Linked DNA regions of Rhinolophus ferrumequinum. The protein of the gene in region 2 purifies or fractionates together with the protein of the main gene of each other region. This does not show direct contact. Links are inferred from orthologs where the notes say so. Each region holds a gene or a part of one and is shown on either strand. Other genes may lie near its edges. The genes, in order: RMND5A and RANBP10.

Region 1 (3,908 bases), on a different chromosome or scaffold from region 2:
GACTAAATTGTCAATCCAGATACACTTCCGGGAACTGACAACAGTAATAACCTGGACCACCACCATTTATCATGTGACTATCATGTGCTTATTATGGGCATTTACATATATTATCTCATTTAATTTTCCTAAGAATCTAATGAAGTACTATTAATTCCAATTATAAAGAAGGAAATTGGGGCTCAAAAAGGTTTTGCCTTATTATTAAAAAAAAAAAAAAAGTTGCCTACTATGTTCTGTTCTGGGCACAGAACCAGAGGCCAGGGGCCTGCTTTCGTGGAGCTTTTATTGATGATGTACAGACAGAAAAGTACACGAATCAGATTTAATAAGTGGTGAGAAAATAATAAAACTAGTGCTATAATTGATAACATAATAAAGCTAATACAGCAATGGAGGAAGGAGTGCTGGAACGTAGAGGCTACATTAGTGCAGTCAGGGGAGGACCCTCTGATGTGACAAGTGAGCTGAGAACTTAGGATGAGAAAGGTGGAAGAGTTTTCCAGGCCAACGGAAAAGGTAAGTGTAAAGGCCCTCAGGCAACATTGGCTTGGCTACTGAAGCAACACTAAGGTTACTGTAGCTGAATGAAACTTAGTGAGGAAGGGTATACAGGTCAAGGTTGGAGGCGCCAACAGCAAGTCGGGAAGGATTTATGCAAACTCAATCCGAATCAATGGAATAAGGCGCCTAAGAGGCAGGGACCACGCTATCCGGCTCTGCAACGGGTTTCCATTCCGCGAAACTGCCAGCACGTGGCACCTGGGTGAAGCAACCGGTCAAGAAAGGTTCCAGGACCAGGCGCCAAAGTGCAGAGGCCCGCGAGGTGTGATGGGGGTGAGGCGGCGCGGACTGTGACCTGCTACTGGTATTGCAGGCGTCTAGGTAGCACTGACGGCCGCGCCGGGCTCTTCCTGACACGGGCCCAGTTCGACTAGCAAGTAGCTCAACCCGCCTTTAATTCTCGTTAGTGACCCCCGCCCGGCCTGCCTTGGTTTTTCCACCGCGGCGACGAGTCCGTGTTCCAAAACTTAGGAATGACAGTACCCCCGAGTGACAGGGAGATAAGATAATTTATGGCTAGGGCGAAGTCCTATGGAAGGTAGACCTTTTCCTTCCTGTCTCGTTTTTCCGCACGGTTTTCCAGAAATAACTTGCTTCCCAGTTTGCTCTCCAAGTCACCCCCTCCAACAGCGAGACTATTGGTTTGGCCCCTAGACTCGGATTGGCTGAAGGTTTACGCCTAGGCCAGGGATTGGAGGACGTTGGTCCCTTACGTATGCACCGCGCCCATTGGTTCGTTTTCCCGGTTTCTGGGAGGAGTGGTTAGGGACGGTTTCCACCCTCTTGTTTACGGAGCGCGTAGTTGTAGCGCTCTCTGAGACCTGGGGCTGCCTCCAAAGTTCCCTGTTTAGCTCCTCGGACCAATTGGGTCTCTGCTCCACCCTCCACCTCTCCCTTACACGCCTCTCGCGTGGTACGGCCCTCACCTTTAGAGCGGCGGCGCGAACGCACGCCCGCAGCGTTCCTCCGCCCGCGCTTGCTGGGCTGCTTCCCCTTGCGGGTGCGCTTGGTACGGCCCGCGCCGCCTCCTTCCTTCGCTGGGGTGGCTCCTCCCCTCTCGGGTCCGCGGCTCTTGGTGCCGCCCTGGAGAACCAGGTCATCGGCCGGTTCCCGTGAAAACAAAAACAATCGGCCGCGCGGCCGCTGGCTCCCGAACGCGGCAAGCGGGGAACAGGGACGCGGGGCCCGGTGGGGCGAGCAACCCAGAGCGTACGCAACGCGCGGGGCGCCGGGCGCCATGGGGCAGGCGGGCACAGGCTGCACGGGGCTCCGCCGGCGCCGGGGCTAGCTTGCCCGCCGCTTCAGCAGCCCGCGCCGCCCGCCTGGGGGACGAGGAGCAGGACGCGGCCTCGGCCGGGCCCGGGACGAACGGTTGCGGACACCCGGGCGCCGAGGAGCCGAGCGCCGCCGCCGCCTCCGAGATGGATCAGTGCGTGACCGTGGAGCGCGAGCTAGAGAAGGTGCTGCACAAGTTCTCGGGCTACGGGCAGCTGTGCGAGCGCGGCCTGGAGGAGCTCATCGACTACACGGGCGGCCTCAAGCACGAGATCCTGCAGAGCCACGGTAAGGCGGCCGGGTTGGGCGCGCGGGGCCGGGCCCACCCGTCCGCGTCCCTGAAGCCATGGCTGGCCGGGAGGGGTGCCCTCGGAGGGCCGTTTCCCGCCTCCACGAGGCGCGGAGATCCTCAGACCCCCGTGACTTTTCCTTCTCTTCTGGATTTGACTCGAACCTGTCCGACCTGGTTGTTAATTAAGAGTGAGCGCGATCCCACCCGGAAACCTATCCCGGAGCCGCGTGCTCCAGCCATGTTAAACCTGCGTGGGGGGTCGGTCCGCCGCACCTGCAAATCGCCGCCCTCCGGGGTGGGTGCCCCTTGCCCCGACCGACCGGGAGGGTCTAGGTGAAGAGGATAACTGCGGGAGGCCCTTTCCTCCTCCCCTGCTTCAAATCCTTTTTCGGGGGACTGACTTTCCTTTTTTTTTTTTTTTTTTTTTTTTTAAATTAGAAAGTCGAGTGTTATTCTTAGCTGTGGGTTAACAGAACAGTCGCTTCTGCAACTTCAGAATTTGCTGTGTGGAAGCAGCTCTTCAACTCCGCAACAGCGCTGACATGATTGCAAGGGAATTAGCTGAACCAAACTGGTCAGCTCTCCTAGTGTAGCCTATGATGAGACTGAGGAACAATTGGAAATTCTTCCTGAAGCAAATTGTGGCGCAAGTTGTTAGTTACTTGCCTCAATTGGTCAAGTGTTTACTTGTTTTCCTTTTAGAAACCATGTTTCCTTTAGAAGGTATTTTACCTCGGTTATTTCATTCTTGCCCTAGAGCCTGGAGCAGACACTTTGCCAAAGTTAACTTGTGGAAGCTGGTTGGGAAGGTTTTTTGTTTTTTTTAAGTGACATTAAAGGTCTGGTATCCTTACATTAAAATATTCATTGTGATGATTCCTTTTGATCAAGAAGTAGGGGACTTTTTATTTAATAGGTTCATTCAGAAGGTTGATAGAGGGTCTTTTCAAACTTGTAGGCTGAACAGAAATTTATGTAAAGGAAGATTTGGTAGCTGGGGTGAAATGCTGATACTTGTGACAGGTGAGATGAAGGCAGTGGAGCTGAGCTTCGCTCTTCTCTCCATTCTTCCACACCTACCTTTCCCAGATGGCTTTCAGTTGAGAGTAAGTGCTAGTCCATGGTAAAGGAGCCTTATAACATCATCTCATTCTGGACTTCACAGTCATTTTTGAACTCCGGGGAAGAAGCAAACTTGCAACCATAGTGGAGGTAGAAGTTGAAATATTAATATGGAAAAATTAGCAGACCTAGGTGGTTGCCTGTGAAGGGGAATGGAGGTGGAGTGGTCTGGGAATCCTGGGAAGGCTCTGGTGAATTTGGTTTTGGACATGTGAGATAAAGGGAAGGGTCAACGAGGATATAGAGTCAAGTGATTAATGTTTACTGGTGGCCGGAGATGATGCATAGATGGTGTTGGTCTGGGAAAGAAATACCATTTTTTAGCTTAATTTGCCAGAAGTTCAAGGATTGTACTGAGCTCTGATTCTTATCCTTAATCATTTTGATTAAACTTTAGATTCACTTAATTTCCCCAACTTGAGGGAAGAGAAGACACTGCTGTCATTTAGTTGTAACAGGCTTTCAATGAGAGTTTCCCTGTAAGTATGAAAATTGGTCTAATTTAAAATTCAGTATGGTTGATGCTGTTTCATTCCCAGTGTGCCCTTGACCTAATTTGGATAATGCACTGCTGTTTCTCAAACTTCACTCATACATGTGCACTGTTATTTTTCAGATGGATTTATGATTTTACTTAAGTAGATTTGTCCTCATT
Region 2 (3,908 bases):
TGCAGGTCAGCTTGATGGCTTTATTTACCACATGTAAAAATGATGGGAACAGAAGCTGCAAGAAGATGCCCAACTTTCTTTAGATTTGCAGGGATCACCTACAGTAAGGCAATCTAACCAGACACGGGGCCTTTCCAGCAAGATCCACTTACAACTGAAATGTTAAATGCCAGTTGAAAGAATCCAGGATTCTACATTTAAACACTCCCTTCTGAAAAATTGTTCTCCTCTCTCACTAGCTCAACTGTTTTCTATAAGAACTATAGAAAAAACAATCCATTTTCCTCCCTACAAGTTTAAGAAACGCCCCTCACTTTCTTTGGCAATATGAGACTCTAGCACTAACATTTCAGTCTATACTGTAACTGTTTTTGCCATGTTTGTTTTGTTTAAGAGGCCATTCTCATTCACACTAGTTAAAGCACATTAAATACATGTGCTTCTATCAGTGGGTGGAAAGGGAAAATAGAAGCTTTAAAGCCCTCCAATAATATGTTTCCCATCTGTAAATGCACTAGATGGAGATAAAAGTGAAAGATACAATAGCTTGCCATGATCAGAATTTCAGAATCACAGAATGCTGTGGTTAGAAGCAGCTTAGATGCTGGCCTAGCTCCCCACAGGGCAGATGAGGAGACTGAAGCCCCCCAGTCTACCCACGATTACACAACGCTCCCTAGCAGGGATGTTACAATGTCACTAAGGACGCCGGTAAAACTCTAACTCTGGCAGTTCTGCCTCCAGGACAGCTCCATGGCAGAGCATTCTGCATGCACCACAGGCGGACAGTTCCTAGGAGAAAGGAAGTATTCTGAATGTTCAAGAACTCATTCGCAAAGTTGGCACGGAGGTCACTGGGGGGGCTGGCAAACTTCCCACACCTGACCTACGGTCTGATGAGGAAAGCCTTTCTAAGACAACTGCAATCATTTTATATCATAACTTAAACACCTGGTTTGTCACAATCACTGGAAAAAGGGGAAACTGGAATAAGAAAGAAGGAAGGAAAAAAAAAAAATCTCCCCTCTGATTTCCTGCGTCTGCTTAGATCACCCTAAAACAGGGACCCTCCATAACGCTGACTTTAATGAGGACCTTCCTAAAGCTGGTCCAACTGGTGTTCAACTCCCAGGACTGAAAAACAAGTTTATGAGCAGCAAGGTCACCTGATTCTGACCATGTGCATGTTGTTTACCCTGAGATGACAGGCCAGTGGCTGCCACAGCTTTGATGAATGCTGGGAAGACTCTGCTACCCCTTTGAAGGCTAATGGGGCCTCTTTATGATTAAATGCCATAAAAAGGAACCTTGAACACAGCAAGAATGTGAGAGGAGGGAAGTCACAAATACCATTCATCAGTGGGGGGGAAACCCCATTCTGGACACTGAATTGTTAATGTAAACTTGTTACTTGTTTCCCTGACCTGCGAGGTATCTCATTACAATATCACAAAAGAGAAGTCCCCTCCTCTATCCCCAATGCACCTACTTAGCATCAAGGTCTGCTGCTTAGACCAGGCCATGCTCACAGTCAGGTAACAGAGGCAGCCCACTATTCAACCCTCTGCAGTCCAGACCCATATGGCTCAGTAGCTCACATCAGTCACAAGTGTCAGCCAGGAGATCTCGAACTCTGACCACAGGGAATAGCTTAGTGTTGAGGGAAAGGTGGTAAGGAAGGGCTTACCCATCTCTTCCTTTGCTGACAATCTTCACCTCAAAGTAATAAATGCCACAGGCAGCAGGTATGGGATGGGTGGCACGCACTGAGGCCGCATCTTTGTGATTTTTGCCATGACCTAAATTGGAGAGGGCAAGGAAGATATTTCAGCACAAGGAAATGCAAATGAAGGTCTCATTCTTCTCTGCTCCATGGCAACTTCACCCCTCCATGGACAGAGGAAGCCCTTACATAGTCTAAGGAATAATCTGACAATAGCTAAGCAAAAACATAAACCTCCCACCTCTGTCTCACCTTCTAAGAATAGCAGCCCTGCCTGAGACTCTGTCTCCCATACAAACCCAATGAGGGTACAGGCAATGTGGGTGCATATGACAGATTCCCCAGTGCTGCTAGTCTCTCCAAAATACAGGCAGCCCACCTGGGAGACCAGGGGAGGAGGAGGAAGCCGTGGAAGACACCTGCCCCCCAGCTTTAGCACAGAACCCCAGGCCCAGTCTGGCGGGTGAGCAGACCATTGGTCTCTGGTTAATGGAGAAGATGTGATCACCCCTTTCTTCAGACACTGCTGAAACAAAGCAGTAGTGAAGAAGAGCCCAGCTGGAGTTGGAACTATCCCAGGACAAGCAGAAAGGCCCTCGGGTGAAAGGTCCAACCCACTCTGGGTCTGGACACCTGTTGCAGTTCTCTTGACATCGGGTGTCTCAGGGCAGAGCAGACCAGGCAGTCGATTCTTGGCCTGGTCAGCCCCACCACCCTGAACACCCGCAGGGGCTAAGGCCTAACTCGGAGTACCCGGGCTGGGGAAGGGACGTAAAGAGGTAGGGACTGGGAAACACAGCCACCCCGCAGACGCTCTGGCCTTTTTCCACCCGCGGCCAAACAGGCCAATACCTTTGTAGTGGACGCGGAGGTTGCCCTGGGAGAGGCCGATGTAGTTGTACTTGTCCTTGGGGCTCCAGGAGCGCGGCAGCGGCGTCTCATGCTGGTTGACTGCGGGGTACAGACGCTGCAGGCGCCGACTCAGCTCCTGCTCCCCCGGGGACGGCAGCACGCCCCCAGCACCCCCGCCGGAGGAGTCTCCAGCCTGCGGGTTCCCAGCTCCCGGGTCCGCCGTCGCCGCCGCCATCTTGGAGGGAGCTGCTATTGTGTCACTGGGGGCGGGGAGGAGCGGGACCAGATCCGCCCGGCTCAGCCAATGACCCGCGAGCCTACCGGGGCCGCAGGGAAACCGAGTCCTAGTCCGGCACCACTCTTTGGACACGGCCACGCCTCGCCATATTTCGAACTCCATATCCCACTATGCAGAGCTCTCCAGAGGCGGGCCAACTCGGGGTGGCAAGGAACTTTGGGAGATGTAGTATAAACCTCCTCATCCATAAGTCTGTTCGGCCGAGACTTTAGACCACTGAAAACTACAATTCCCGCTGGCAACGCGACTTCGGCGTATCACTTCACCTTCCTTCCCATGGCCTGTTTATCCCCCTGCCTCGGTTCTGGTAGCTAGGATCAAATCCTCTGTAGTGACTGATTCTGAGAGGACCCCGCTATGGGGTCCGAGTCCACTTTTACTACTTGGCCTTCTTCCCAGCTCGCGAGAGCGGGGCTCGGGGGCGTGGCAAAACCTAACCCCGCCCTCGCCTCTGGGATGCTGGGACCTGGTCGCCATGGCGATGGGCTGTACACTATCACAGCTTTCCGGGCGGCGGGTGCTGGCTGCCCGGCTGCCAGAGGGTCATGGCCTCCCCTAAGCTGCGGTGCTGCAGATTCGCGACTACGTCGAGGTAGGTGCTGGCCGGGCTGAGGGCGAAGAGGGCTTGAGTACTGCCAAAAAAAAAAAAAGGTATTTGATCCGGACCTCTGCACCTCCCGACTGTGTCCATTGGCCTGGGGCTCCAGCCCCACAGGATCGGTGGTACAAAAACAGTTTGAATCTTGGATGACTTGTCAGCCCAGCGAGGGCTTTACGTGCTAGCAAAAGGACAGACGCACTTCATCATTAGTAGTAACAGCCAGCTTGTTTGTATATTATGTGACAAGTGCTTTACAAACCACATTTAATCCTCACAGCAACTCTATGAGGTAGTAATATCACCATTTTACAAATGAAGAAATAGAAGCGCCTGGAGAGATCATGTATTTTACACATATTTGTAAGTGGTGGAGCTAGGATTTAAATCCAGCCATGTGAGATTCCTGAAACTGAGCTCTTGTATAAACCGCCTCT

Evidence for each region.
Region 1: the proteins of RANBP10 (region 2) and RMND5A purify together in Homo sapiens (affinity purification with mass spectrometry; 4 studies listed by BioGRID and IntAct, counting the BioPlex papers as one, with this or other methods). This does not show direct contact. The link is inferred for Rhinolophus ferrumequinum from reciprocal best matches to the Homo sapiens genes RANBP10 and RMND5A.

The regions. Positions count from the first base shown.
Region 1 is NC_046296.1:7,841,349-7,845,256, reverse strand, and holds the start of RMND5A (E3 ubiquitin-protein transferase RMND5A), read left to right. Parts: upstream 1-1,669; 5' UTR 1,670-1,985; coding exon 1,986-2,127; intron 2,128-3,908.
Region 2 is NC_046298.1:17,384,115-17,388,022, forward strand, and holds the start of RANBP10 (ran-binding protein 10), read right to left. Parts: upstream 2,920-3,908; 5' UTR 2,811-2,919; coding exon 2,576-2,810; intron 1,800-2,575; coding exon 1,688-1,799; intron 1-1,687. UniProt on the Homo sapiens protein: May act as an adapter protein to couple membrane receptors to intracellular signaling pathways.